7 linked regions of the Mus musculus genome follow. The protein of the gene in region 7 interacts with the protein of the main gene of each other region in a pairwise test. Links are inferred from orthologs where the notes say so. Each region holds a gene or a part of one and is shown on either strand. Other genes may lie near its edges.

Region 1 (4,035 bases), on a different chromosome or scaffold from region 7:
CATCTTGGGTTACATAGCAAGTTTGAAGCTAGATTGTTGCACATGAGATCCTGTGTCAATTCGCTCCTCCTTCTCTTCCAAGGGGAACGCACAAGAGCCTGACTGCTGACCGGAGCTGGGCAGACCTTCCGGTGTCTCTCTCCATAGCCACCAGGCCTTTCAGTCTACAAACTGTTACACAGTAGCCGCAACTCTTGGATTTAAAAAAAAAAAAAAAAAAAAAAAGGCGATTTCCCTTGGGAAGACAGCCTCTTCCGAAGGGGCCTGATTGGCACGTGACTGTGTTTTCCTAAGGCCATCTGTTCATAGTGCCCCCTCTCTGGTCCACTTGACTCTCAGAATGCCCCATCATTCCTGACTCATAGGTATGGCTACCCCTAGTGGCTATCCAGGAGCCTCCACCGGATGGCTAGCAGAGCCTTGTTCTAGATGCCACCCCGCCCCCCAGGGGCTGTCTGGTTGCAATGGCCCTAATGAGAGACGTATGTTTGCTTGCTGGCATTAGTTGTAACCACCGCAACGCTGTCTCACAGTACGCGAGTTGTCGTCACACCTAGCAGTGGCCGCTGAGGAGCTCCAGAACTCAGGGTGAGACAGTGTGTTTCATGCCCTGGCTTGGGAAGCTATCAACAGCCGACGTTTTCACGACGCCATTAACCTCCCTGCGAAGGACGGGAGAGCTAGGAGGGATTCCCATTCGAAGACCAATGAAGGGCAGATACGGGGCGGCCCGTACCGTGTCCTGCGTCCGCGCCCCCAACACAGGCGCGTGCGCATCGCCGTCTCTCGTAGCTCGCCCCCGCCCTCCTCGTCCGGGTTTTCAAATTTGAAACCGGCAGCTTTTCCCGCCCGAGTCGGGGCCCCCGCGGCGGGAGAAGGCGGGGCCGCGCATCAACCAACCCAGTCTCCGAGGCTCGCGGCCCGCCCGGAGGATGTGGCCGCGTCCCGCGCGCACGTGTAGCCCAGGCCGGCGCCTGCTAGGACCGGCGCGATTGCCTGTCGCAGGAGTGGGGCAGCTTGCAGCGCCCGGTGTCCGGGCTGCCTGACCCGGCGGAGGGTTCTTCCCTAAAGCGCAGAGCAGCAGCCCAGTTCAGCCTGGGCGGGAAGAGGCGGGCTGGGCTGGGCAGGGCGGGGCGGACGGGGTTCCCATGGGCGGGGCGGGGAGGGGCCAGGGCGGGGCGACCGGGGGCGGGGCGGGCCCTGTGCTTGTGGCACCGTGTCAGTTACATTGAAACAAAAGTGGTAAGGCGGCTGACAGGGCTAGCATCCCTAGCCCGCTGGTCGTCGGCTGTCGCCGACATGGAACCCGTGGCTAGCAACATCCAGGTCCTGCTGCAGGCAGCGGAGTTCCTGGAGAGGCGCGAGAGAGGTGAGGACAGACCCCGCGCGCGGGCTGAATTTGGCTCCCAACCTGGAGGGAGCAAGGCTGGAGGGCTGCTGGCGCGCTGCCGCCCGCACATCTATTGGAGTTCGCAGGCAGCCGGGCAGGGAGTGACTGGGGAAAGGGTCCTGGCGCCAAAAGCCTTTCCTTGACTTCGCCGTGCCAGGGGCTCCAGCTGACGGGCTGTGTTGCTGTGTTCTCTCTCTGGCAGAGGCAGAGCACGGTTATGCGTCCCTGTGTCCACACCACAGCCCCGGGACCGTCTGCAGGAGGAGGAAGCCACCCCTGCAAGCTCCTGGCGCGCTGAACAGTGGGCGGTGAGCAGGGATGGGGCAGTGTAGGGAGGGATGCTGGTCCTTAGCTGTCCCATCTAACTCTCTTCTCACTTCCTTGTTTGTTCTTCTGGCCCAGGTACCCTGCTCCATCCGCCTTTTCTACACACACACACACACACACACACACACACACACACACACACACGGCCCAGGTACCCTGCTCCATCCGCCTTTTCTACACACACACACACACACACACACACACATCACATCACATCACACAGGTCATTCACACTCCTGAATTGTCTCTACTACAGGCTTCTGCTTTTCTGTTCTTTTGCATATTCTGTTTCTTTAAAATAGTTTCCCCTCTACTGATTTCTCTGACAGGCTTATTTTTTGATCAAGTGTCACATCTGTCCAGGGAGCCTGTCTTGCCTGGCTGTCAGGGGCGAGACCCCGCAAGTACCTGGGCAAGTGTCCTGTATTTTTTGGTGTGTGTGTCTGATTCCTTTAGTCACTACCTGGGGTGTGGTGTCCTAAAGGAACCCAGGCCCTCACGAAAGGCTTCCTTGGCGCAGCTATCTGTAGTGAGGTCTGAGCTGCACAACAGCCTGGGGTTGAGGATTTGCACAGTACCCTCACTTGATCCCCTTGGCATTCACAGGTCTGTGCACAACGAGCTGGAGAAGCGCAGGTGAGTCCCAACCTGGCTCTCAACAGTTCCCGGTCTCAAGGACCATCTTTCTCAGACCTTTCCTCCCTTGCCATCCCTCTGGCTAGGGAGGTGGGGCTGGTACTGCCCTCCAGACTCCTTCCCTTGCAGGAGAGCCCAGCTGAAGCGGTGCTTAGAGCAACTGAGGCAGCAGATGCCCCTGGGAGTTGACTGTACCCGATACACTACACTAAGCCTCCTGCGCCGGGCCAGGGTGCATATCCAGGTGAGGAGCTGTCTCTTGTCTCTCTGCTTGGGAGACAGTGTGGTCTTGTGGTGTGGATGGCCTGGCTGCAGGGCTGCCTCCATTCTGTGGGACTTGAGACAATCCCGTTTTGTTCCCGAATCCATCTAATGGAAGAGAAGCAGACAGCAGGGCTGTTCTGAGGCCTTGTAAATGTTCCTTTTGTTGTGGGTAGTATTACTTAAGTCCTAGCTGTGAGACCTTGGATGAGTCTGTTTCCTGTTGGGTTCAGCAGGGAGTATACGGCTGGTGAAAATACTGTGCTAAGCCCTGCGATTCGGCAGACCGCAGAGGGCTGGTACCTAGCCTCTCCTCCTGACTTACTCCTCAGGGCTTTCTGGTTTGGGTTCTGCTGGTGGTGTTGAGTCAGGGGAGGTCTGGAGGCAAAGGACAGTGAATTAACTAGCTGGTTGGACTTGGCCTTGCTGCTGCTCGGGTGGAATTGCAGGCCCCCTGGTGGACAGGAGTGGATATGCAGACAACAAGGCCTAGGCTGTGCCAACCATGTGGGCGTGTTAGAAGCTGCCTTGGCAACAGAAGAGGATGTTTCCTGCTTTCTGGGCCCATGTGATGGAAGGAAACAATGAGAGTCAGACAGAGAGAGAGAGAGAGAGAGAGAGAGTGCGCACGCATGTGCGCGCACATGCGCGCACACACACACACACACACACACACACACACACACACACACACACACACACCTCTGAGAGCAGATGAGGGGCAGAATCAATCAATGCCTGACCTGTTTATCAGCGTTTATCATACACGGCTCTGTTAGGTTCTATTCAAGGGCCAGGGCAGTCAGTGCCATTGCTATTCAGCACATATTTGCACTGTCACATACATGCCTGCCTTCACCTCCAAGTGACCTGGTTCTCACGTAGGCTTACATTTCTCCCATGAGCTTGTCTGACCTCATTTTCAAGTAGATGAGCGTGCTACCCAGAGGGGCTGGCACCTGGGCATTAGCCCTTTCCTTGGGCAGCATCTCCTGAGTGGTCCTTCCACCAGGCTGCCTGCTATTCTGCATGTGCTGAGGCCAGCTCTAGCTGGGATCCCTGAAGGGACACAGCCTCACTTCCTGCTTCCTGTGAAACTCAAGCATCCCTAATGCGGCCTTGCTTTCCTGGGCTCCAAGTGGTCCCGTGACAGCTTGTAAAAGCTTCTCTCTTGGCCTACCAGAGACAAAGAGCTTCCCGGGGTCCCTCTGCCTTGATGGTACCCAGCCCCGTAGTTTAGTCTAGGTGAGGACATGCACCTTTCTGTACCTTGTGCTGAGTGTTCTGGCTTATTCCCCCCTTGCTTTAAATCATTTGTACGGGTTAAAGATCAAACCTAAGGCCTTGCACGTGCTAGGCACACCTTACCCCTGAGCTGCATCTCCAGCTGCTGTCTCTCTCTCTCTCTCTTTTTTTTTTTT
Region 2 (3,500 bases), on a different chromosome or scaffold from region 7:
CTTTAGACACTCCAGAAGAGGGCGACAGATCTCATTAGGGATGGTTGTGAGCCACCATGTGGTTGCTGGGATTTGAAATCAGGACCTTAAGTTAGTGTTCTTAACCACTGAGCCACATCTCCAACCCTTTTGGTTTAGTTTTTGAAAAGACTTTATGCAAGTCTACAAGTTCTGACTTTTCCTGTTTTTCATACATATTTTTATATTTTTATTAGATGTCTATGTACAAAGTTGAAATAAAGCAATTTGTATTTTTTTCCCCTTTGGGGGAAGGGATGGGGCAGGCAGAGTGTCATATAGCTCAGACTGGCTTTGAATTTTTTATGTAGTTGTGAACTTTTAATTTTCCTGCCTTGGTGTTTGGGTTTATAGGCATACAATGCATTCCATGTCAGCCTAGCTAATAGTGAGACATTGTCTCAAAAGAAACAGATATCAAGTTAAACTCCTCGTTTATCTATGGTCATGGATGTTAGGGCTCTAGTATTAAAAAGTAGATCCCCTCCAGGTAAGCTCCTCAACACAAGAGTGGCCAGGCCCCACCCCTGAGGGCTTCCAGCTGCCAGACTCTTCTCACAGAACAAGGCTATGGCTGGACCCAGTTCCTTTATGCTCTACAAAGTGAAAATCCCAAGATGGGGCCACCCTGGAAAGCTCCCCCAAGAAATCTTATATAAAGCCTGCTTCCTGCTCAGTTTTTTGCAGTGTCTTACCCAAGCCAAGGTTTTCCCAATAATTCCCTTAGGTGAGGTTCGTTGTGTGGTGTGACTTTGTGGTATTCCTTGGCTTCCTACTGCCATAATACTTCTCCCTTCAAAGCTGTAACACTTCATCACCCCTTTAATCTCAATTCATGGCAATTCTCTTGCCTCAGCAACTTTCTGATAGTTTAATGGGTGTGAGCCTTCAAGCCTGGCTATTTATAAATTTTTTTTTTTTTTTGGAGACGGTCTATTTAGTCCTGGCTGTCTTGGAACTAATTCTCTGCAGATCAGGATAGCTTCGAACTCACAGAGATCCTCCTGCCTTTGCTTCCCAAGTTCTGAGATTAAAAGCATGTGCCACCGTACCCTGCTATTTGTAATTTTTTGAGCTATACTTCACCTAACATAAAGTTTGTAGTTTAAGTGCACCAGAACCTGGAGAGAAGACTCAGTGGATAAAGCTCTTAAATATGAGCACTGGAACTTTTGTCCCTAGTACCCAAAAACCTCTCTGACTGTGTAGCCTAAACTGGTCTTGACCTTTAAGTAATCTTGCCTTAGCCTTCTAATCTATAGGATTATGTCTTGAGAACCACACTGAAATAGTTTCCTAAAATAAATACATAATTTTAGTTTGTATAAGATTGTAGGATTATTACTATTTTTTTGTTTTTTTTTTGTTTTTTAGATAGAATATGAATAACTTAGCTAGTTAGATTAGATTAAAATTAGTTTAAAGATGATAGAAATGATTAGGGTAATTGGGTGGAGTGATCCATGCCTATAATCTCAGAACTTAACAGTCAGACACAGGAAGATTGTTTTGAGTTTGAGGCTAGCTTGATCTACATAATGAGTCTTAAGAAACCATCTCTTCCTCCTATTCCCTAATTTTTTTTAAAAGGATGATTAGGGATTCCAGAACAAATACCATTACAGTGATTGAAAGAAAGAAGGCTATAAGCTATGTCTTAAAGAATTAGGAATGTTTTTGGATAACATTTTGTGACAGGTTCTCATGTATCCCAGGGTGATCTTGAATTCCCTTAAACGTACTTATTTTTTGGCAATTTCATACTTGTATCTTGCATCGGATTGCATGAATTTTAGTAATTGTCATCCCTACTTCTCACCCTCATTTCTTCTCTCCCTCTCCAATTGAAACCTTTTTTCGTCTGTCTGTGAGTCAGTGAGTTTAAAGGTTTTAGATAAATGTTTAGTATGTGCATGTATGTGTCTGCATGTCACCTAATGAACATTGAGGTCAAAGGAAAGGGTTTAAAAATCAATTCTCTTTATTCACTTTTTTGTAAGGTTCAGGGATTGAACTTGGATCAACTGGCTTGCCTGATCTGCTGACCCATCTCTCTGACCTCTACTAAGTTTAAGTAGGGTTGCTTGCATAAGCATGGGTAGGTGATTATTTACTGGAACATGGGCAAGTTTATCTGTGCCTGTACCACTGACTGGCTTTGAACTTGTGCTCTTTCTCCATCTCCCAAGTGTGTAGAGTACAGGTCTGTGCCACTACTCCTGGTATACGCAGGGCTGGAAATACCCAGGGCTTTATGTGTGCTAGGCAAATCTCTACCAGATGAGTTACAGTTGTATTTTTGTTAGAAAAATTCTGAGTTGACTAAAGTTCTGTTTTTTGTTCGTTTGTTTGTTTTTTAGGATGAAAAAGCATTTGTAACTATGAATTGACTACAGTTTTCTTACTACTGAATTTCTCACTGGAATCATGGAAGAGAAACAGCAAATCATATTGGCCAATCAAGATGGAGGGACAGTGACAGGAGGAGCACCTACCTTCTTTGTCATCCTAAAGCAGCCAGGAAATGGCAAAACTGATCAAGGAATTTTAGTTACTAATCGAGATGCCCGTGCTTTGTTGAGTAGGGAGTCATCACCAGGAAAATCTAAAGAGAAAATTTGCCTTCCGGCTGATTGTACTGTGGGAAAAATCACGGTTACCCTTGATAACAATAGTATGTGGAATGAGTTCCATAATCGAAGCACAGAGATGATTCTGACCAAACAGGGAAGACGCATGTTTCCTTATTGTCGATATTGGATAACAGGCTTAGATTCAAATTTAAAGTATATCCTTGTAATGGACATATCTCCTGTGGATAGTCATCGGTATAAGTGGAATGGTCGTTGGTGGGAACCCAGTGGGAAGGCTGAACCCCATATTTTGGGGAGAGTTTTCATTCATCCAGAATCTCCTTCTACAGGTCATTATTGGATGCATCAACCAGTGTCTTTCTATAAACTCAAACTTACTAACAATACACTGGACCAGGAAGGACATATTATCTTGCACTCTATGCATCGTTATCTGCCAAGGCTTCATTTGGTGCCAGCAGAAAAGGCTACAGAAGTGATACAGTTAAATGGCCCCGGTGTTCATACTTTTACTTTCCCCCAGACTGAATTCTTTGCAGTAACAGCTTATCAGAACATTCAGATTACTCAGTTGAAAATAGATTACAATCCTTTTGCCAAAGGCTTTCGGGATGATGGGTTGAGCAGTAAGCCTCAGAGAGAAGGAAAACAGAGGAATAGCTCCGATCAAGAAGGGAATAGTGTTTCTAGTTCTCCTGCTCATCGTGTTCGTCTTACAGAAGGTGAAGGGTCAGAGATACATTCAGGTGATTTTGATCCTGTGTTAAGGGGTCATGAAGCATCAAGCTTAAGTTTAGAGAAGGCTCCCCATAATGTAAAACAAGACTTTCTTGGATTTATGAATACTGATTCGACACATGAAGTTCCTCAGTTGAAACATGAGATTTC
Region 3 (4,288 bases), on a different chromosome or scaffold from region 7:
CTCCAGGCTGTGCTGATTGGCTGATATCTTTCTTAGACGAGCTCACCTGCGCCTGTGTTTAGAACGCTTGAAAGTTCTGATCCCGCTGGGCCCAGACTGCACCAGGCACACAACACTCGGTTTGCTCAACAAAGCCAAAGCACACATCAAGGTGAGAATCTTTCTTTCCATATTTGCACTGATTCCTGTGTGTGTCGTGTACAGCTCACTAGACCGTCCTCTTCTTCACTAACTGCCCTCCAGAGAAACGGCTGTAAAATCTCACCAGCGATCCAGTGGGGCAGCATGATGCGAATAAATGAAAAAAATTTACAGCGTGGCCATCTAGACCTGAGAATGCTGGGGAAGGTCTTTCCGATACCCTGAAGGAAGGCAGCTGCGCCCTCTGGCGGAGATGCTGTTATTTGGCTTTATCTCTCAGTAATTTTCCACTGAATACCACATTGCAGGAGGTTTCTCTTTGTGGAACTTACCTCACAGACTTTTATAGTTCACTTCATTTGTTCAAGTAACATAGCATCCATACAGGAAAAAGACCACTGTTTTTATGTTTAAAACGCAAGTGTTTCTCAGTATTTATATATGCAAGGGTACATACATACCCACATATGTGTATTTGTGGCAGGAATTAGTTTTACTGTACTAGACTGGACTACAGGTGTGAATAAAACATCTTCATTTTAGAAACTTGAAGAAGCGGAGAGGAAGAGCCAGCACCAGCTAGAGAACTTGGAACGAGAACAGAGGTTTTTAAAGCGGCGACTGGAACAGCTGCAGGGGCCTCAGGAGATGGAGCGGATACGAATGGACAGCATTGGATCAACCATCTCTTCAGATCGCTCGGATTCAGAGCGAGGTAGGCAGCTTCTCTTTCTAAGGAAGTCCTGAGTCTCCGAGACGGGTGGGGGCGGGGAGACTGTAGACACTGCATCGGCTCTCACTAACCAATGTAGTACTGTCGTCTAGCTTCTGTTGTTTTGGTGCTAGAGAGCAAACCCAGCGAGTAGCATGTGCTAGGTTAGGAAGAGTGAGCCCAGCCGCACTCCCAGCCCCCAGCTTGGGCTTTGTGCACCCTAACATTCTCTGGCAGTGCCTTTGTGAACCACAATTTTTTTTCATATATGTATATACATTCTTTCTATTTTGAAATAAATTTTAGACTTAGAAAAAGTTCTGTTTAAAATATGCCAAGTTCTTGGGGGCTGGAGAGAGGGCTCAGCAGTTTAGAGCACTGACCGCTCTTCCAGAGGTCCTGCCTGAGTTCAATTCCCAATTCCCAGCGACCACATGGTGGCTCAACAACCATCTGTAATGGGATCTAGTGTCTCTTCTGGTGTGTCTGCAGACAGCCACAGTGCACAGTATACTCATATACATAAGTAAACAGATCTCAAAGGAAAGAAGGAAGGAGGGAGGGAGGAGAGAGAGAGAAAGGAAGGAAGGAAGGAAGCAAGGAAGAAAGAAAGAGAGAAAGAAAATGCAGAATTCTTACCATGAGAGAGGGACATGGCTTGAAGCTATATTTCATGCAAGAAAATCAAAAGCAAACCCCTTAAACCTACTTTATGATTAGCTTATTTTAGTTACTATTCAGAATTTGTTGATGAATCCATAGAAATCCATAGATCCACCTATGATCTATGATAGAGAGTTGACACCACCAAAAAATTCGGATGCCTAAACATAAATTTTCTATCTTTAATTTTATTTCTCCATGACCCCAACCTCTTTAAAGCAACCCTGATTAATAAACAGAGCTGTGAATTAGTTTTTGGTTTAATGTAAAACAGATGTTGTTAAACCACTTGGGTTGGGATCTTTTAATATTAAGTACTAATTCCCAAACAGGCCAAGCGCTTTTAGTGGGAGGTCTAGACGGACTGGCGTCAAAAGGGTTTTAGTAAACTTGCTGCCTAAATTAAGACCACCACTGTATACCAGATTGCTCTTTGCAGGAGAGTCCCTGATAGAGCACGGATAACCTTGCTGGATAACCTCTCTAACTTCTGAAAGTGCACATGCAGATTATTAATGCCCCCCTTTGTTTTCTCTTTCTTCCTCCCGCAGAGGAGATTGAAGTGGATGTGGAAAGCACAGAGTTCTCCCATGGAGAAGCAGACAGTGTCAGTACCACCAGCATCAGTGACCTTGACGACCACAGCAGCCTGCAGAGTGTCGGGAGTGACGAGGGTTATTCCAGTGCCAGTGTCAAACTCTCCTTCGCGTCCTAGGACCCAGCATGGCCTAACAGTGCAGGGCGGAGCGCTCACTGGGCCGAGTCAACACCGGCTCTCAAATTGGGTTCATGATGCAGTCTCCTCTTTAAAACTAAAAACTATACTTGAACAAAACGGTCAGAAGACCTGTATTTAAGCAAATACTTAACGAAAAGTGGGGTAGAGCCTCCCTGGTAGAACAAATATTCCTATATTTGGAAAGAGTACAGTTTCTAACGGCAGCAGAAACCATGCGCGTGATTATCTTGAGTTGACCAGGTTGACTTGAGAGACAATGGAGACTTCACTCTCCTGTTGCAGTTTGCTCACTCTGTGGTGGTGAGCAGACATTTAAGGATAGGGTTATGAACCCTTCCCGAGCTTCTTGGCCCTAGAAACAAAATCACACTTAGAGTAAGGAAAAGGCAGGATAATCAGGCATTAATCTCAGATAGCTGAAGAGCTATTAAAACTCAGCCTCTGTTTATCATGAAGCCTGTGGATGATCAGTTCTTTTAAACAAAATGAATTTTTAAAAAGCTCATATCGTGCTCTACAAAAGGAGAGACTCCATGAAGCCTTTTGAAAGAGGCCCTGACGCAGCCCGGCTTTCTGTTGGATTCCATGCTAAGCCAGCTAACCTTACCTGCATTGTTAGCTCTAGAGCAGCCGACCACCCGCTCGCCACCCTTCGGCCACGTAGGGGCAGCCCATGCATGACGGCCTGAATCACAGGAGGAAAAGCTCTGTGTGCCTCGGTGTCTGCGCGGAGCTGAGGAGGTGCGCACGCAGTATAGCAGCCAAGGTCTGAGCCACCGCAGCATTTTTATTTGAGATTTTGATAACTGTTTGTATGTGTTGAAAACCAAAATGACATCTTTTTAAAGCTTGTCCATAAGTAAAAACATAGATGTCTTTTATAGTGGAATAAACCACGTGGGGAAATCATCTATTTTGATGCAGCATTTGATAATGATAAACACCTCACGCCTCACTCTTCACAGTGCGCAGGACAGACAGACGGACGAGGTCTGGGCTGGGTAGACGGAGGTCAATGCTGTTTTTGTTTTCTTTAGGACCACTCCCTTTTACCAGCTTTAACCATCTGATATCCATAGTAGACATACTATCCTAGTTAACATAGTTACGTTCAGCACTTGTCTCATTTAATGTAAAGATTTTCTACAGGCAGTCTCCTCCCCCACAATCCCACTGTGCGGGTGCTATTGTTGCTCTTACAAATCCCTTCAGAAATGTTATCTTCTAAGTGGAACTTCTAGCCTGCACTCTGATGTCATGTGTTCCCTCTGTCTTTCAAACTCTCAGGTTTCCCTCTGGGCCACTGCTTTTCCCTGGGAAGCCTTGCTGGAGACCTTACCCCAAGCTGTTTGGACTTTGTATTCTTTAAATAATTTAACTACCCTTAATTACTTAAAAAAAAAAGCTTTATGATTTTCATAACTTATTGCTGATTTTAATGGGTTGTTAATTTCAGTCCTGTAGTTTTATTTTATGTTTAGATAGGGCTGGGCAAGGAAAAAGAAAATAAAAACAACCATATTTAGCAGTGCAGTCGAGTTGTGTGTTAATGTCAGAGCTATCTTCCGTGGATAGCACGTCTCCATACAAGAAACATACCGCCTTGGTCATGCATAAGGTCCCAGCACACACTACCCAGTGCTCTTTTTGTGCCTGCAAAAGCACTTCGCCGTTGCTTGGGCTGTGTCTGAATGAAAAGGTTCTTTGAAGTAGCTGTTTGTGAAACACTGCATGCCTCCAGACACTCGGCTGAAACCTGTTGCACTTGAGGTGCTGAGGACAGAATGCAGAAACCCTCTGGTTTCCCTTGCAGTCACTCCCAGACAGGTAAGATGTGTGTGTGTATTGGCTGTCTTTGAGCTTTCTCTTAAAGTTTGTCCTTACCATGGAAAGTAAATGGAAGCCATTGAGTGGCTGCATTATTCTCCTTTTTTTTTTTTTTTTTTTTTTTTAAGAGCAGGGTTGGGGGTGGGGTGGTCCCGAGACAGGGTTTCTTTCTAGCCCTAGCAGACCAGGCTGGCCTCAAACTCAGA
Region 4 (4,298 bases), on a different chromosome or scaffold from region 7:
CAAGATTTTGAGTGTAGACAGTCTGGCTTGCATCTTTGTACTTTAAGTTAAACAAGTGTGTTGTAGGGAGGGCAACTTTTTTTTGTTTTTTTTTTTTTTTGTTTTTTTTGTTTTTTTTTTTTTGAGACAGGATTTCTCTGTATAGCCCTGGGTGTCCTGGAACTCTCTGTAGACCAGGCTGGCCTCAAACTCAGAAATCTGCCTGCCTCTGCCTCCCGAGTGCTGGGATTAAAGGCATTCGAAGAGCAACATTTTTATTGATGACACTAGAAACACAGCAGTTCCTAATCTTAAAATTTAAAAAGATTTTAGAGTGTGCTTAGTCTAGCACACATAAAGATTGTGTGTGTATACGATTGAAATCCTGTAACTATCCCTATTACGACAACTGATCTCCTTTGCCAGTTTTGTTCTGGATACTAATTTAAAACAACTGTATTTGTTTCACAGACATTCTTCTTCCTCTTCCTCTTCTTCTTCTTGTTTTTCGAGACAGAGTTTCTCTGTAGACCAGGCTGGCCTTGAACTCAGGATTCCGCCTGCCTCTGCCTCCCAAGTGCTGGGATTAAAGGCGTGTCCAACACCGCCCGGCAGCTCTCAATCTTCTTAATGCTTTAATATAGCTCCTCCTATTGCGGTGGTCTCCACCATATAATTATTTGTTACTACTTCATAACTGTAATTTTGCTGTTATGAATCATAATGCAAAATATGTTCTCCGATGGTCTTAGGCGACTCCTGTGATCCGCAGGTTGAGAACTGCTCAACAGGAGGCTAAAAAGAAAATTCCTGAATAAAACTTTAATAATAACCCAATTTCTACCCCTTTCCTGTTTAAACGGTGTGCTTTTCCCAGCCAGCCAGCCTAGATGCCTCTGCTATCTCTCCGCAGCGCCTAGTAAACGCTCTTCTAACCCAGCGTCATGGTAGCACCGAGTTCTAGGTACGCGAAGCAGTTGGCCGAGGGGAAGTTTTGAAAAGAGCGGAGTTCTTCGGCATAAGGTTACACAGGAGCCTGCGGGTCATGGGTGCGGTAAGCGCAGACCCCTGGCTTGGGAGAAAGCGACAGCAGGTGTTCGGCTGAATGGCCGAGCCGGGCGGGGTTGGCAGACGCGGTTGGGTGGCGAGAAGCAAAGCCTTTCCTGTTCCTTAGGGCGGGAGGCGTGGAGGCAGCTTCCGCCCATTCTTCCAGAGAACTTCGCGGACTGCTTAAGAGCCCTTTCCGAAGGCTAGCCCGAGTCAGGAAAGTCAGGTCAGGCGACCCAGTCCAGCCTCAGCTGGCTCAGACGCGCGTCACCTCTGCAGAGGCGCGCGTTCCCCAACCCCGCCGGGGGAGGCCCCCGAGTGGGTGTGGCCTCCGCTGAAGAGCCCGCCCCCCGTGCGGTCGCGTGGGGATGGAGGGGCGGGGCAAGGCGATGGGCGGGGCGAGGGAGCCGGGAAGAAAGGGCAGGGCGGGTGTGCTCGTGCCCGTGTTTGGCGCTTGGGCGGGGGCGCGCCGGTGCGCGCGCAGGAGGGAAGCCAGCCGGAGCGGCCGTTGTCGGGTTCGACTGGAGGGGCGGTGAAGTCACCTGCGAGCGGCTGCGCCCGCCGCGTCCGGATCGCGCCGGCCTCGCGGGGCCCCACGCAACCCTGCGAGGCTGGGGTCGGGGAGCAGGCGGAGTCCGCGCCCGGAGTCGGCGACTAGGAGGACTCGCACCCTCGGCGCCGCCGCCCGCGCGGGGTCGGGTAGGTGCCATGGGGGTCGGGACGCACCGGGCGGCGGCGGGCTGGGGAGGGAGAAGCGAAACTTTGCGGGCGCCTATCCCCGCGGGCCCGGGCCAGCCGTGGCGCGGGGAGGGGTTGGCGCGGGCGGCGGCGGCCGACGCCATGTTGGGGTCTGTGGGAAACGGGGCGCTCGGGCGGCTCCCCTCCGGGCCGGCGCTCGGGCTGGAACCGCCTGGGTCCCGCCGCGCCCGTCCGCGGGACGCCGCCCGGAGGGCCAGGGCCGGGACCATAGACGGCGGCTGGGGACTGGACCTCGCGTCGCCCCCGAAGTTGTGGGGCAGCAGGACTCGGGTCCCCAGATCGTGCGGTCTGAAAACTTTGCAGGGTCTGGGCGTCAGGGGCACGCTCTGACTCCAGCAGTTTATTTTATGACTTTATATGAAAATGGCACCGTACAATTGGCTCAGATAGGAGCGGTAGCTTACACGCTACTTGAAGGGTTTTTTTTTTTTAAGTTTTATGATCTTTTGCCTAGTTTTTTTTTTTTTTTAATGTTATTAAAGGCCAAGAGCTGGTTCCCCAAGTTGCTCGAGTAGCCTTGTATAGTCCTCGAATATTAAAGCAGTAAGTTGTGTGAGTGTGCAGTGGAAATGACTAGTATTCAGGTTACATACACCTAAGCAGTAATTCAGACTCCCAAGTACATTAAACTGGTAAATGCCTTCTTTGTTATGTTTTAATATGTTGCCTAAGAGACTCGTTAAAGAACCATTTAGAGTTGAACGTTCAGTTGAAACGTTAAGGCATGTGTTGTCTTAAGACTAAGTGAAATAACCCAGTGTGTTGGCTCATGCCGGTTTTCTGAGCACTCCCGCGGGCTAGGGCAGAAGCATTGCCGCGAGTTCAAGGCCAGCCTTGGCTACAGCTTGAGTCTGAAACAAACAACCCCAGGACCACAACAAACAGATTAGGGTGATTTTGACGATTCAGTTTTTTTTTTATTCTTTTTCCTTTTCGTTCCTTAAAGGTGCATGAGTTTTGAGCCCCTATCTTTGTACCTTTATAGCTTAAGGGGTGGGAGGACCCAGGTTAAATCAGAATTAACCCAGGCTATTTTTAATCACTATGGGTCATGAGAGCATTGGGAGGTGAATGGTATTAAGTTGCTTATTTGGAAAGCTCTTTATAATCGCCCCTGCCCCCAAATGAAACTGGTGTACAGCATGAAGTAGCCTAGTAAATAAATACCCTTAAAAAAATAAAGGCGGCTTTAAAATTATGTTAAATGGGCTGAAAAGACTCTTAACAATGCAGAAGCCGTAAACAGCCGTGGTGGTTTTCCTTTTTTACTCTTTAGTTTTTTAAAATCATTCTACTATGTGGGGAAGGAGGAGGCACGCAGCCCCAGACCTCACGCAGAGAGGTCAGAAGACAAATTTCCTGAGTTTCTTCTCTTCACCATGTGATTATGGGGATGGAATTTAGGTTGTCAGGCTTGGGGGCCAGCTGCTATCATTACTTTCTGAGCCACTTTTCTGACCCCTCTATTTTTAATTATATCGTGTGTGTGTGTGTGTGTGTGTGTGTGTGTGTGTACATTTGTGTGGGCACATGGCACAACTGTGGAGGTCAAAGGGATAACTTTGGAAGTTGCTTCTCCATCCACCTTCTGCCCCAGGATAGAGCTGAGGCTGTCAGGCCTGGCCTCAGAGCCTTACCCCACAGAGCCATCCCTGCCCCTCTTTTTAGTGTTTAGTAGGTAAAAGTACTTTCTTAGGTATGCCAACTTTCTTTAAATTTTTCTTTAATTTTTGCTCCCTTGTCAGGTCACTTCCATTTGATATATATTTATTTTTTGGACCAAAAATTATTTATCAGAAAGAAGTTACTAGCCTGATATCACAAATCTTAGTAGTCAGTCTGCAGCCATCTGATCGTTTCTAGAGCATGGCATAACTCATCCCTGTGTGGGCATTCTCTTGCCCATCTCGTTTCTTCACTTATCCTAATTCAGGCTTCAGTAGAACTGTCTGCTAAAGAGCTGATAATGCAAGGGTATGATACTGACTGTTTTCTTCTTAAAAACTTTTTGTGGAAGCTGGGGGTGTAGTGGAGCACGGCTGTAATCCCAGCACCCTGAGGCCAAATTGCTGAGGGGTTGATCTGGGATTCATAGTGAGACTGTCTCAAAACCAACCAAAACCAAATCTACCCTCAAACCTGCCCTCTTTGATGCTTTCCCACCCACTGTGCAGACCAGCTTCCTCTTTCTCCATTGGATTCAACCCTAGGCGTCCTAGACCTACCACCTAGGTCTGTAATGGCACGCCCTTGACGGCAGGCCTCATGTGAGGTCCCATTTGCTTGTCCATCTTCCGCAAGCCAGAATGGAGCAGATGCTCAGGGGAGGCTTAGATGGTTCCCTGTAAATAGTCTTCATAAACTTACTAAATTGTCATTTATCCGTGGGATAGCTAAGCTTCTCCGTCGTCTGCCCTACGCACTACAAACTCCATTCAGTTGGCGGATGAAGGGCTTGAATTTGTGTGTGTGTTTTCTTTTTAGACACAATTAACTATTTCCAAGCAGATAAT
Region 5 (4,034 bases), on a different chromosome or scaffold from region 7:
TTCCTTATCTGCATATTGGGCATATGGAGAGCCACAAGGAAGTGTGCACAATGCATCCACCTTGGTCCTAAAGTAAATTCAATGCTAATAATCTTTGTTGTTTGCTACAGTACCTTCCTTCCATTTTAAGAGCTGCTATCTAGCCACCTTATTTCCCACAGAACTCTCCAGCCTGCTATTTTGTCCTCAACCTAATAACAGAGAGAGGATCAAGGGGTGGGAGAGGATGGATACAGAGGATGGTGTTAGGGCATCTTGAGCTGTCTGTCCCCCATGCATCTATAGGCCAGCATGAGGGCCTCGGGTCATTAGGGCCAGGAGTTTGCTGAAGAGTTCACCCTCTTGTCACCATAGCCTGGCTCTTGGCACGGCTCTACCCTCAGACCAAGCACCGCAAACAGACACTCACGGATCCCTCTTGCTCAGTAGTGTCAGTAGCTCTTGGTGCCTCTCCCTTAACCCTGGTGGCCTTCCTTTTTACTCCTGATGGCTGATCCTGCCTACTTTGGGTCTGACATCTGAGAGGCTTTTAGATTCCAATGGTCTGCGTCCCTGTCTCCAAGTTTTAGCCTTCCCTGAAGCCAATATTCCTGCCAGAGACAGGTGTCCTTTGCTGTTCTTTAGCGAGATCCCAGCGCCCGCCCCTATCAGGCCCCAAGCCTGGTCCTCCACCGAGACTATGGTACCAACTGACTCCGGGCAACAGGTCGTTGCGCACGACATGCATGGGCACGACAAAGCGCCAGGGCGCGTGTCCGCAGCGCATCCTGCCTGGTGTCTCCCGAGACACGGTCCACGTCCTCCTGGCCCCCGCGTAGGCCGGGCAGCAGTCCCACCACACAGTGCTTCCTCTCGGCAACCGGTCCTGCCCGGGCGTCCTCATTGGCCCCACGCCCTGTCACTGGCCATTGGTCCGCGGACTCAATTTACATAGACCGTTCTGGCCCAATCGGCGTGCAATGCCTACTTAACATGCACGATGGCCGCCAGTCAGCGAGCACTGGGGCTGGGCCACCACGTGCTGTTGCTAAGCTTGGGCTTCTAAATTGTTACTACTGGAGCCAGCCTATCCTAGCCAAGCTTCGCATCTGTCAACATTCTCAGCTCTGCCCGAGGCGTTCGGCCAGTCCCTATTGGGCAAGGCTAGACAAGAACCCGCCCCCTAAGCCGGAGCGCCCACACCTATTGGCTGCGTCGACTGCTGCTCGACTTATGTGTCAATTTGAGGGCCTGAGGCAGAGGGTGGCGGCCCAGCGCTGGAGTCCGCGAGTCGGGCTGGTGTGCCGCCAGGCGCGGGGCGTGCGGCGAGCAGAGCCGGCAGGAGCGCGCCGGGCAGCCGCCGCCGCCGCCGTCCCGTGCGCGGGCGGCAGGATGGAGCTGAACTCTCTGCTGCTGCTGTTGGAGGCGGCCGAGTACCTGGAGCGTAGGGACCGAGGTAGCCCGCGCCCCTTTGTGCCAGGGTGGGCGGGCGGCGGGCGGGCGCAGGGGGCCGCTGACCGCACCGTCTGTCCCGCAGAGGCCGAGCACGGCTACGCCTCCGTGCTGCCCTTCGACGGCGACTTCGCAAGGAAGAAAACAAAGACGGCCGGCCTGGTGCGCAAGGCCCCGAACAACAGGTACCGCCCCCAACCCCCACCTCCCACCCCCGCGCGCTGTGCCAAGCCAGCTCGGGTCGGCCCCACCCGAGTGTCCCCGTCCTCTCTGCGTCCCCAGTACAGTCCTGCGCGCACCCGGGCGGCCGGCCTGGAGGAGGTGCCGGCCCCGCCCGCGCGTCGCCATCTTCCCGCGGCCGCGCCTCCCCGCCGCCGTAAACAGTGCCACGCGTACAGCGGCCGCGCTCGCCGAGGGCCGTTCTGGACTTTTCCAGACCGGAGAGGAGTTGTCAGTTGGTGCCGACCGCTACTCCCTAGTTTGGGCCTAATTGGGGACTCCTCCCTCCCTTGCACTTCTCGGAGCTGGCTTTGCTCTTAGACCCAGCACCTTATCCCCAGGAGCCTGGACAGAGACCTCTCTCTGGCTACTTAAGCGTCCTGCGCAGCTTATTGACAAGGAAACTCCAACCACAAGCATAGGGCTGGCTTTGTCGCGAAGAGCTGCAGGGAGCTATTTCTCTCAAAAGTTCCAGGGCTCAACTACACTGTTTGCCTTGGCCTTGTGTTTGGAGGAAGCCCTGAAGCTGAGGTTTAGGTATGGCTAGGACTGCTAAAGGTTCCACCTTCCTGGCTGCAGTGGGATCCAGGGCACACCTGACACTGTCTAGGGGCTAACTTTGGCCCAGCTACTCCTGTGTGGTCAGTCTGAGAGCTTCCTTAGCAGGCTGGGGGCTTCAGGGCCCCTTGGCAGAGGGTGCGGCTCATTCCTGTGGCCTGTCTGTTCTTGGGAAACAGAGAGGCTGGCACAAGGACCCATTTCTGTGGTGTCCTAGGCCTGGCAAAGAACAGGTTGAATTACCAACGGCCTGAGTCCCAGCCCCTGGTCTCTTGCTTTGAACAGTTTGCAGAAGGACTTAAGTGTGTTGGAGGCCTCACTGCCCCAAGCTTCCACAGTGAGATGGCCTGGACCCGGCTTCTGTCTGCCCTAAACCCCAGGTTTGGGAGCTCAGCTTCCTGTGGCATGGAGTACCCACAGCTGATAGGAATGGTAGCATTCCTGAGCTGAGGCCCTTGAATGCTTCTGCCATATACACAAGTAAGAATCTGACCCAGCCTTGTAAATGAAGCCTTATTTTGACCTCCATTTTACAACCGAGGAAGCCAAGGCATAGACAGATTCAGTTACTTGGGTAGGGCTGCTTAACCACCCTGTTCCTGGATGAGGTCCTAGCCTTCCATCTTCTTCTGGGATGGGGAGAACTGGGTGCAAGGGGCAGGGGATGCAAAGGGCCTCTCTGACTGGACTTGGGTGCACCTCCCCTGAAGCTTCCTTGGACAGAGTGTACTCCTTCAAGACCTGAAGCCTTAGGGTGGCAGACACAGCCCTCCCCTCCCCAGTCACTGCTCAGAGGCTATTCTCAGCCAGCTCAGTTGAGAAGCTGGGATTTCAGATGTGGCAGGGCAGTTCTGAACCTTCTGTGTCCTGGCAAAATGAAGGACAGGCCCTGGTATAGCAGGCTAGGGTGAGTGATGGCTAGGTCTCTAATGGCAGTGACTCCATGGGAGGGTGCCTTTAGGGTCAAGTACTTTGAGAATATAAGCAGAAGGGTCAGATCAAGGTGGTGCCCAGGCAGCATCTGACACAACGATGGCCTCTCCTCAGGCACAATACCCCCCCTCCCCCCACGGGATCTCTGGACTCCGAAAGAGTTCCAAGAAAGGCCAACACACATGCTGCTAGAGTGGCCCTGTAGTCCAGGGATTGGGAGCTGGCAAGACAAGTAGTATCCTCTGGTGCAGGAGGTGAGGGGACTCCTCAATACTTAAGGTTCCTGCTGACCCTAGCCTGCTACATAAACTAGCAGACCTGTAGACCCAGTCAGGCTGCCATTTAGAGAACTGAAAGACAGGTTCTCCAGAGGACATCAAGGGGTTTCTGCACTGCCTTCTTGGCTCTGGTTGGCCTGTGGAGGGATTCTGAGGCTCTGGCCCAGCCTGAGTGACTAGCAGCAGGTTTTGGAAGAGTTGAGGAATCCAGGGCCAGAGGGAACATAGGTGAGCTAGTACCCTGATGGTGTCAAAGAATGATGGGCCAGGCAGAGTGTACACATTTTTTGGTAAAAGATCCCAGATCCAGGCTCTTAGAGCAGCAGAGGAAAGGACAGGTGGGCAACAGCAGAGCACAGGGAGGGCCTTGGTCTGGGTGTGTCCTGATCTTTCTGCTCTTAAGTGCAGCAGTCCGGGGACCTAGAAGCCTGTGTTGGTCTGTGACATTCCCTTAGATTGAGAGTCACTTGGAAACCTGAGTGTTCAGAACCTGTGGTCTGGGTGAATGGGCTTGGCCAGTGAGGTTCAAGCAGCCCATGGGGTCACTGTTCCCAGGGAAGGTAAAGTTGGTCTCAGGGTTACATATTCTATATAATGCAGTTCCTGAGAGAAGGG
Region 6 (4,010 bases), on a different chromosome or scaffold from region 7:
CGACTTCTTATGGGCCTCCAGGGGAGAGGTCCAGGGCTCCTGCTGACAGGCCTGTGTGGGGGACTGCTTTTCAGTTGGATGAATCTTGCCCAGCCAACCGACCTCTCAGGTATAATACTTTCCCTATCCTCTGAGGGTGACTTGGGGTACGGGAGATCTGATGGTGAGGGGTGGAGAGAGCCTCCTCTTCTCTTCTCTTTGGGACTTGGACCCCATTTTGCACTTTGAGCAGGGTGAAGGGGATGTGGGTAACCTCCCTTCTCTATAGACGTCTTGCTTCTCTCCAGCCCTGGCTCACCACCCCCATTTGTGCCAGACTACACGGGATGCAGAAGGCGGCCACTACCCTGGTTTTTTCTGTCCGCGCCTCTCTGACACTCCCGAGGAAGCCTACTGTTGCCACCTGCAGGCTGCCGGGGGTTCCTGCTGTACCCTGGATGAATTTGAGGCCCTGTACCAAGTTAACTTGTCTTCGCTTCAGCCACCACCCATCCTCAGGTAAGAACTCTAGTCCCGGATTCGCAGAACACTGGCAGAGTGCTCCCGTGTCTTGGGCACTGTCCTTGAATTCTGCAGTGGGAGACTTGTAGCTTCCAGATTAGTGGAGAGGAAGTCACTAAATCATAATTACAACCAATGCTGTAAATGAAAACAAGTAACAGAAGCTGCTTTGTCTTAAGGGGTTTGGACGGTGTTAATAAAGAGGATTTGTTAATCTTGGACACATTGTAGTAGGAGGTTTAATTCTGAATCTGCCGCGTTTGTCTTCAAGGTACTTGCGAGCTCCCAGATTTGTATGCAAAATATGTGTATGCATCTGTATTTATCCCCTGCTCTCGTGGGACTCTGGGCTCTGCAAACCCTGACTTGTAGCAGCCAGTAGACAACCTTGAGTCTCTCCTGTCTCCCCAGGGGTCCAGGCCCGCTCCTAGCACTGGGCATCTACACTCTACTGCTGATGGCACTGATGACTACAGATTTCGTGCACTTCTGCCGTGGTCGGGGACGGAGAGAAAAACAAAACTCCAGCGGCTGCCGCCGCCTTTCCTTTAGAGCCTCTTCCGCGCGCCCTCTACAGGTTCCAGTGGGAACAGACTAGGCGCTCGTGAAGCAGCCCTGAGCCTGAGCCTGCGCCTGCGCAACGCGAGTACCCCGCCCTTGCACAGACCCAACCACTTCTTGGCCTCGCCTTGTTTAGCGTAACACTGACGCATTGCTGGGGCGGGGCAGTCGCCGGCATCTCGCGGATCCCAGGGACACCTTTGCTCTAAAGACTGCGCCTGCACTGGCTCTTGGAGCTTAGCTTCGTGATGACTGTGAGTGGCCCGGAGACCCCCGAGCCCCGACCTTCCGACCCCGGGGTGCGTACTGATTCTCCTGTGCCATCTCCCCTTTCACACATGCGCCTTCGCACCTGGTCGCCGTCACCTTATTCTAGCCCTTCACGGGACTCGGCCAAGACCCGGCTCTTCTCCCAGGCGCGCTGCTCTGCCCAACGCCTTTCTCTCTCTCTCTCTCTCTCTCTCTCTCTCTCTCTCTCTCTCTCTCTCTTCTCTCTCTCTCTCTCTCTCTCTCTCTCTTCTCTCTCTCTCTCTCTCTCTCTCTCTCTCTCTCTCTCTCTCTCTCTCTCTCTCTCTCCCTCTCTCTCTCTCTCTCTCTCTCTCTCTCTCTCTCTCTCTCTCTCTCTCTCTCTCTCTCTCTCTCTCTCTCTCTCCAGGCCAGCTCAGCCGAGCAGCTGCGGAAGGAGGGCAACGAGCTGTTCAAATGCGGGGATTACGAGGGCGCCCTGACCGCCTACACACAGGCCCTGAGTCTCGGCGCGACGCCCCAGGACCAGGCCATTTTGCACCGAAACAGGGCTGCTTGCCACCTCAAGCTGGTGAGGGGATCGGGTTGCTCTAACCTGGTTCTACCTGGGCCTGGGATTGCCCATAGCCGCTGCTGTTTGTGCACCAGTTGGGCATTTCCTAGCCACGCACGATTGCCAGAGGTCTTTAGGCGTGGGTAGTGGGGGATCAGGTGGTTCAGCAAAACAAGGGTGCCATTGCCACTCTCAGGCTCCTGATCTTTCTCTTACAGGAAGATTACAGCAAAGCAGAATCAGAGGCGTCTAAAGGTAGGGTGGGTGTGGGTCCTCATATGGAGCAATGGGGTCTTCTGTGGTGGGAAAGGACTCTGGGGCCACCGAGCCATCCCTTTCTCCTCCTCTGGACCCAGTCACTCGTCTTTCTACTTGCTTTCCCACTTCTTCGGCCTTTCCTTTTCTGCAGCCGCCCTCACCTTTTCTGAGGCTGAAGCACCGAGCTCCACATTCGTACCCCTATCTTCCTTTGGCCCTCGAGATCTATCCCTACTGCTCTTGCCTGGAGACGGTGGCCTCCTGGGTGCTGATAGAGTTCCTGTTTGTGCTCAGCCATTGAAAAGGACGGTGGGGATGTCAAAGCACTCTATCGCCGAAGCCAAGCCCTAGAGAAGCTGGGCCGCCTGGACCAGGCTGTCCTTGACCTGAAGAGATGTGTGAGCCTAGAACCCAAGAACAAAGTTTTCCAGGAGTCGCTGAGGAACATTGGGGGCCAGATTCAGGAGAAGGTATGTGAAGGTACCAAGAGAAGTTGGAGTTGCCTGGGTCTGGGACAAGGATGTAGACACAGTACTCCAGAGAGGAGCTACTGGTAACAAATACACATTAATTAATAATGCTCAGACTGATGGAGGAAATCAAGTTTAAAGCATGTTTTTTTCTGTGTATGTATAAGTTTGTCCTTGTATGTAAGTGGTGTGGGTGCGTGGACTCTTACGGTACCTGGCGAAGGTATGAAGTGATTTGGCTCTGTTAGGCTGTAGTGCTTTAGCATATCAAAGTTGTAAATGAATATCTGATGATCTAGTTAGCCCCTCTTGACCTTAGACTCACTACCTGCCCGAAGCTGGCCTTGAACCCCTGATTCTCTTGCTTCCAAAAACATTTTTAGTTTTACTTTTTTAAGACAGGGTTTCATGTAACCTAGGCTAGGCCTGGACTTGGCTGCGTAGCTGTGGATAGCCTTGACTTCCTGCCTACACCTCCCAAGGGCTGGAATTTCAGGCGTCTGACTTTTATTTCAGCCTTGTTTATAGTAAGAGAGACTTGGAACTTGCCTAAATGCCCAGCAATGAAGAGAAAAAAAAAACCTAAACAGACTAGGTCAGTGCTGTTTCTGAGAAATGGATCATATATGACTAGACGCGGGCTCTGCTGATTGGTAGATGGAAAAGCAAAATATGCGGTAATCTAAGTAGGAAAGTACTATGTTCATGAGGGAACGATCCAAACAGTGGAGCCTGTCTGAGAATATCTGGCTGAATCCGTGACAGTCCAATGAAAAATGTCAGTAAAGCTTGACATTAAAAGCCAGGTGGTAGCGCATGCCTTTAATCCTGGCACTCGAGAGGCAGAGGCAGGCGGACCTCTGGGTTAGAGGCCAGCAGGGTCTACAGAGTGAGTTCCAGGACAGCCAGGGCTATGCAGAGGAACCCTGTCACTAAATAAATAAAATAAAAATAAAAGCCTGTTAAGAATGCACATCAAGCCAGGGGTGGTGGTGCACACCTTTAATCCCAGAGGCAGAGAAAGGCAGGTCTCTGTGAGTTCGAGGCCAGCCTGATCTACACAGTGAGCTCTAGGACAGCCAGGACTGTTTCACAGAGAAACCCTGTCTTGAAAAAACAACAAAAAACAATGTCCACTAAAGGCCAGGCCTGGTGGTGAATACCTCTAATCACAGCACTCAGGAGCTGAATGAAGCAGACAGATCTTTGTGAGTTCAAGACCAGCCTGGGCTAATTTAAAAAGAAAGAAAAAAGTGTGTGTGTGTGTGTGTGTGTGTGTGTTGTGTTTATCAAAATGGTAACATTGGAAGAAAAGAATGGGGTTAAAGAGGTTTTCCAAGAAATACCTGTTTTAACGCGCACACACACACACACAGACACACATACACCAAAAAGAAGTGTTAGCAGCTACCTCAAAACCT
Region 7 (4,005 bases):
GTCAGAAAGATTGTATTACACCACCAAGTTTCTGCACTCAATAGTCAGGGGTTAAATGATTTTTTACTCAAAAAACATTAACTCATAAATCAAACTCAAGACCGCACTCATTTTGAAGATCAATTGTAAAGTGGTAGTCTGGTTAATTTCTCAGATGACCTTATTATTACTGTTTGTTTGTTTGTTTGTTTGTTTGTTGTTTCATTGAGGACCTGGTGCACACTGAAAATGGTGACAGGGTAGTCCGGTTTTTGCTTTCAAAGCTGTGAAGTCTTTGAGGGGACACATCATGCCATTCCTGGGCTGCCACATATTAGATACTTAGCTAAATGCGGGTGGGGACAATGTAGTTACACTTCATACCTCGTTGCATTATGTATGACCTTAACTGGACAGGGAGCTGCACAACTTTCCCGTTTTGATTCTTTTTGCAGTTAATTAAAGTTCTCTATAAACTGGGGCACTCCCTAATCTGCTCCGGCTACAACAAACAGAAGGTAGGTTTTACTTGCACCTACGAGAGGTTTTGTAAACACTCAAGCCCAGCAAGGACAGTTCTCTCGGACAAATGAAAGCAAGATTCTTGAGATGAAGGACACCCGGCGAAATCGGTCCTTTAGTTTGTCCCGTAATGTCTCTTAACACCTTAAACCCAGATAACAGAGGGCCCGCGTGGGCATCTCGACCGCGCCCCCTGGTCAGCCACAGCGTGATTCCTTCCCGGGAGGGTTACGCCCCAGGGCGCAAGTGGAGCGACTCAAGCATTAAACGAGACAATGTAAAAGCAGTCTAGCCAAGAAGAGACAGTGTTATTTTGGCAGCCAGTTTCTCTCCCCCCGCCCCCAAACCCCCGAGCCTCCACCCAATCCCTTGGGCCGGGCGCCCAGAGCTCGGAATTGTGGCCGGCTCCAGGAGCCCAGCTCCCTCCACGTGTCCTGTCTTCCCAGCAGCCTCTCCGCCGCCTGGGGAGGAAAATCTCCTGACAACTCGCGGTCTGTGGACTACATCTCCCGGGAGGCACCGCGCCACTTCTCGCTGCCAACACCCGGGGCGCAGGCGCCCTGAGCTCTGTCAACAAGCGAGTCTGGCGAAGCCTGTGTGCGGTTCCTGATGGGATTTGTAGTTTCTCTGGCTCTCTCTCACTCGCCCATCCGACGCTCGAGGACTACAAGTCTCAGCTACCCCGGCGCGGTGAGCCCGGTCACGTGTTAGGGGGCCGATCGGGCGTGCGTGCCGCCGTTGATCCGGTGCTGCAGTGAGGTGGTTGTCGCCCGTGTTGTGTGTGCGTGAGTGTGTGTGAGTGAGTGAGCGAGTGAGTGAGTGTGTGCGTGGGGGCACTCGGCTTGTTGTTGTCGGTGACTTCCCCCTTCCCTCCACCCCTCCCCTCCCCGGCCGCCGCTGCAGTGGCCGCTCCCTGGGCCGTAGGAAATGAGCGATAACGATGACATCGAGGTGGAGAGCGACGTGAGTCCTGGGGCTTCTTCCTTTCCGTTCGGGTTGTCAGGCGGGGACAGCGGCAAGGGTTCTCAGCCGGGCGACGGCGGGAGGGGGTCGGGTCGCCGCCGCCTCCGTCCTTTTCTCCCCCTCCCCCCGGGGCCGGGACCGCCTGCGTCGCGCTCCAGGCTCGCTCCCCTCCAGTCCTGTCCGGAGAGGCCTCCTGGGACTGAAGGTGGGAGCAGACACGCGGCCTCTGGGACCCCCACATTCTCCCGTGGAGGAGGGTGTCGAGGCCTCCCTCTCCGCTCTGCCCGGCTGGGGATCCCATTATCCTTCCGGATCCTGGGCAAGGAGACCAGCGCTCAGCTCTTGCTCTTTGGGTCCATGAGCTCCCTCCTCCTGTGACCGGTTGATCCTTGGGGTGAAGGGGCTGGGAGTGCTCTGACGCCCTAGAGGGATCGAGGGAGAGCAGGCAGTGTTCCGGATCCCTCTTGTCCGGTTCGGATCCCAGAAGGAGGGGCAGTGCCTGAAACCCCCCCCCCCCCCCCCCCCAACTAGGCTACGGGATCTCGCTGGAGAGAGTGGAAGGGGAAAGAGGGAGGGAGGGGTGTCAGACTGACTCCCCACCCGCTGCTTCCTCCGCCGCCGGCATTTTCTTTCTTATTATTGAATTCGAAGTGTGAAAATAACTTCTGTATTTTCTATTTTTCTCTCTCTCTTATTCCAGGAAGAGCAACCGAGGTTTCAATCTGCGGTACGTCTCCTACTCTCCATTTCATTTTCATTTCCGTTCAGTTTTGGTTCTTTTTGGAGTCAGAAAAAGAGATCGTTCTATTACTTTTAATACTCTTGTAAACTCCTCTTAACCGCTAAGGTGAGGTTGAGTCTGTTGGGGTTGGAGGAGGGGGGCGTTGCAAATCCACATGATTCTTGATATTCAGGTGGTAGATTCTAGTGAGTAGGTAGGTAGGTAGGCAGGCAAGTGAGGAGGCCTGTGCTGTGAACTGAGTTGTTCTGTAGTGTTCAGTGCGGCGGAGATATGTGAGAAATGGAAGGGCATTCTGAAGTGAATGGTAGTGTTATTTCAGAGCAAACTGGCTAGGTTTTATTTAGGAGCAGGTAAACTTTAAGCAGTATCTCCATAGTTGTGTGAAGTTGCAGGCACATGTAATAATCGCCTTTAGCCAAGGTCATGTGACTACTGCAGACTCCTAGGATCTAGAAAAGCATGATATTCCCCAAAAAACGACAATGGAAAAAAGAGAGGCGCTAGAAGTTAAATATTGAAAGTGGCACAGCTTTTTGTGGTCTTGACTTTCCATTTGAGAAGAAAAAAAATGTTGAAGAGTGGCACTGTTAGAGACAGCTTTGCTGAAAGGTGATGGATGCATCCATATAATGTTATCAGTAACTTATTAGATTTTTTTATATTAATGGGGTTTTTTTGTAGGTGTTTCTGGCTTTGGGTTGACCCCATGCTTTCTTGTCTGGAGTCTGAGACTTAGGAGTAAATAGGCATAGATTAGAGAGAGAGAGGAGAGAAGGAATAGACTCAGAATACAACCAGAGGAGAGAGAGAGAGATGGAATATTTGATGGTTGGAAATGGTAGGGAAAGAGAATGGAGTGAGGTCCTCATTACCCGTGAGGACCAGGTAACAGCTAGTCAAGGGTGGAAGGAAGAGGTGAGGATGTACACCCCTTCTAAAAAGTCCGTAGCCACCTGCCCCTGCTGCTTGCTACCTGAGAGTGATCGGTGCTGCCCGGTGCTGCCAGATCTTTTTGTTTCCTTCAGGGCTGAGCCCTATCCCTGGAACCTCAAAGTTTATGAGAAATGTTAAAATACTTGAAACACAGATTATTACTTTTTTGGGTGTGTTTATGTGCATTTAACTTTTGACTGTGCTAGGATTCGAACCCAGGGCCCTCGCATGCTGTGCAACCCCTCTGCCATGGAGCTTCAACCTCAGCCTATTTAATTGATTTTTTTAATTACATTTACTTAACGTGTGTGTGTGTGTGTGTGTGTGTGTGTGTGTGTGTGTATGTATGTATGTGTGTATGTATGTATGTATGTGTGTGTGAGTGTTGTGTGGTCACGTGTATGTGATGGCTCACATGTGAAGGTCATAAGAACCACTTGGATTCAGTTCTCTCTCTCAAACACATGGGTCTGGGGATTGAATTTAGGGTCATCAGGTTTGACCTCAGTGCCTTTACCCACTGAGCTATCTCTCTACCTTCTAGTTACCTGATTTTTAAACGATATATGACACAGCTGTTTAGGAACTTGTAGAGTTTGCAGGATGCAACTAGGCTTGGTGGTTCTGGTCGGTAAACCCAGTTACTGGGGAGGCTGAGGTAGGAGGATCAAACGTTCGAGCAATTTACTGAGACCCTGCCTTAACATACACAACACAGAGTCCAGGCTTGTGGCCCAGTATGTAAGCCCAGGGCTTCTGAGGCTTTGGCAGGAGTCTTCCCTGAATTTTAAGCCAGCCTGGGATATAGAATGAGTTCCAGCCTGGGCTACAGCATGAGATTCTGCCTCACACGAACAAGAACTCTC

What was found.
Region 1: the proteins of Max (region 7) and Mxd3 interact in a two-hybrid assay, tested with the Homo sapiens proteins (4 studies listed by BioGRID). The link is inferred for Mus musculus from reciprocal best matches to the Homo sapiens genes MAX and MXD3.
Region 2: the proteins of Max (region 7) and Mga interact in binary tests that used the Homo sapiens proteins (3 or more experiments, as listed by UniProt). The link is inferred for Mus musculus from reciprocal best matches to the Homo sapiens genes MAX and MGA.
Region 3: the proteins of Max (region 7) and Mxi1 interact in binary tests that used the Homo sapiens proteins (3 or more experiments, as listed by UniProt). The link is inferred for Mus musculus from reciprocal best matches to the Homo sapiens genes MAX and MXI1.
Region 4: the proteins of Max (region 7) and Plekhf2 interact in binary tests that used the Homo sapiens proteins (3 or more experiments, as listed by UniProt). The two-hybrid records come from large-scale screens. The link is inferred for Mus musculus from reciprocal best matches to the Homo sapiens genes MAX and PLEKHF2.
Region 5: the proteins of Max (region 7) and Mxd4 interact in a two-hybrid assay, tested with the Homo sapiens proteins (2 studies listed by BioGRID). The link is inferred for Mus musculus from reciprocal best matches to the Homo sapiens genes MAX and MXD4.
Region 6: the proteins of Max (region 7) and Unc45a interact in binary tests that used the Homo sapiens proteins (3 or more experiments, as listed by UniProt). The two-hybrid records come from large-scale screens. The link is inferred for Mus musculus from reciprocal best matches to the Homo sapiens genes MAX and UNC45A.

What each region holds. Positions count from the first base shown.
Region 1 is NC_000079.6:55,326,932-55,330,966, reverse strand, and holds the start of Mxd3 (max dimerization protein 3), read left to right. Parts: upstream 1-1,235; 5' UTR 1,236-1,299; coding exon 1,300-1,369; intron 1,370-1,592; coding exon 1,593-1,698; intron 1,699-2,323; coding exon 2,324-2,353; intron 2,354-2,482; coding exon 2,483-2,597; intron 2,598-4,035. UniProt on the Homo sapiens protein: Transcriptional repressor. Binds with MAX to form a sequence-specific DNA-binding protein complex which recognizes the core sequence 5'-CAC[GA]TG-3'.
Region 2 is NC_000068.7:119,900,228-119,903,727, forward strand, and holds part of Mga (MAX gene-associated protein), read left to right. Parts: intron 1-117; exon of another isoform or gene 118-2,116; intron 2,117-2,378; 5' UTR 2,379-2,445; coding exon 2,446-3,500. UniProt on the Homo sapiens protein: Functions as a dual-specificity transcription factor, regulating the expression of both MAX-network and T-box family target genes. Functions as a repressor or an activator.
Region 3 is NC_000085.6:53,369,506-53,373,793, forward strand, and holds the end of Mxi1 (max-interacting protein 1), read left to right. Parts: intron 1-36; coding exon 37-151; intron 152-684; coding exon 685-856; intron 857-2,067; coding exon 2,068-2,231; 3' UTR 2,232-3,788; downstream 3,789-4,288. UniProt on the Homo sapiens protein: Transcriptional repressor. MXI1 binds with MAX to form a sequence-specific DNA-binding protein complex which recognizes the core sequence 5'-CAC[GA]TG-3'. MXI1 thus antagonizes MYC transcriptional activity by competing for MAX.
Region 4 is NC_000070.6:11,004,820-11,009,117, reverse strand, and holds the start of Plekhf2 (pleckstrin homology domain-containing family F member 2), read left to right. Parts: upstream 1-1,498; 5' UTR 1,499-1,725; intron 1,726-4,298. UniProt on the Homo sapiens protein: May play a role in early endosome fusion upstream of RAB5, hence regulating receptor trafficking and fluid-phase transport. Enhances cellular sensitivity to TNF-induced apoptosis.
Region 5 is NC_000071.6:34,184,911-34,188,944, reverse strand, and holds the start of Mxd4 (max dimerization protein 4), read left to right. Parts: upstream 1-1,234; 5' UTR 1,235-1,371; coding exon 1,372-1,435; intron 1,436-1,516; coding exon 1,517-1,616; intron 1,617-4,034. UniProt on the Homo sapiens protein: Transcriptional repressor. Binds with MAX to form a sequence-specific DNA-binding protein complex which recognizes the core sequence 5'-CAC[GA]TG-3'.
Region 6 is NC_000073.6:80,337,420-80,341,429, reverse strand, and holds the start of Unc45a (protein unc-45 homolog A), read left to right. Parts: upstream 1-1,210; 5' UTR 1,211-1,310; coding exon 1,311-1,361; intron 1,362-1,717; coding exon 1,718-1,879; intron 1,880-2,079; coding exon 2,080-2,116; intron 2,117-2,270; exon of another isoform or gene 2,271-2,413; coding exon 2,414-2,589; intron 2,590-4,010.
Region 7 is NC_000078.6:76,959,449-76,963,453, reverse strand, and holds the start of Max (protein max), read left to right. Parts: upstream 1-1,205; 5' UTR 1,206-1,428; coding exon 1,429-1,464; intron 1,465-1,474; exon of another isoform or gene 1,475-1,669; intron 1,670-2,164; coding exon of another isoform or gene 2,165-2,191; intron 2,192-4,005. UniProt on the Homo sapiens protein: Transcription regulator. Forms a sequence-specific DNA-binding protein complex with MYC or MAD which recognizes the core sequence 5'-CAC[GA]TG-3'. The MYC:MAX complex is a transcriptional activator, whereas the MAD:MAX complex is a repressor.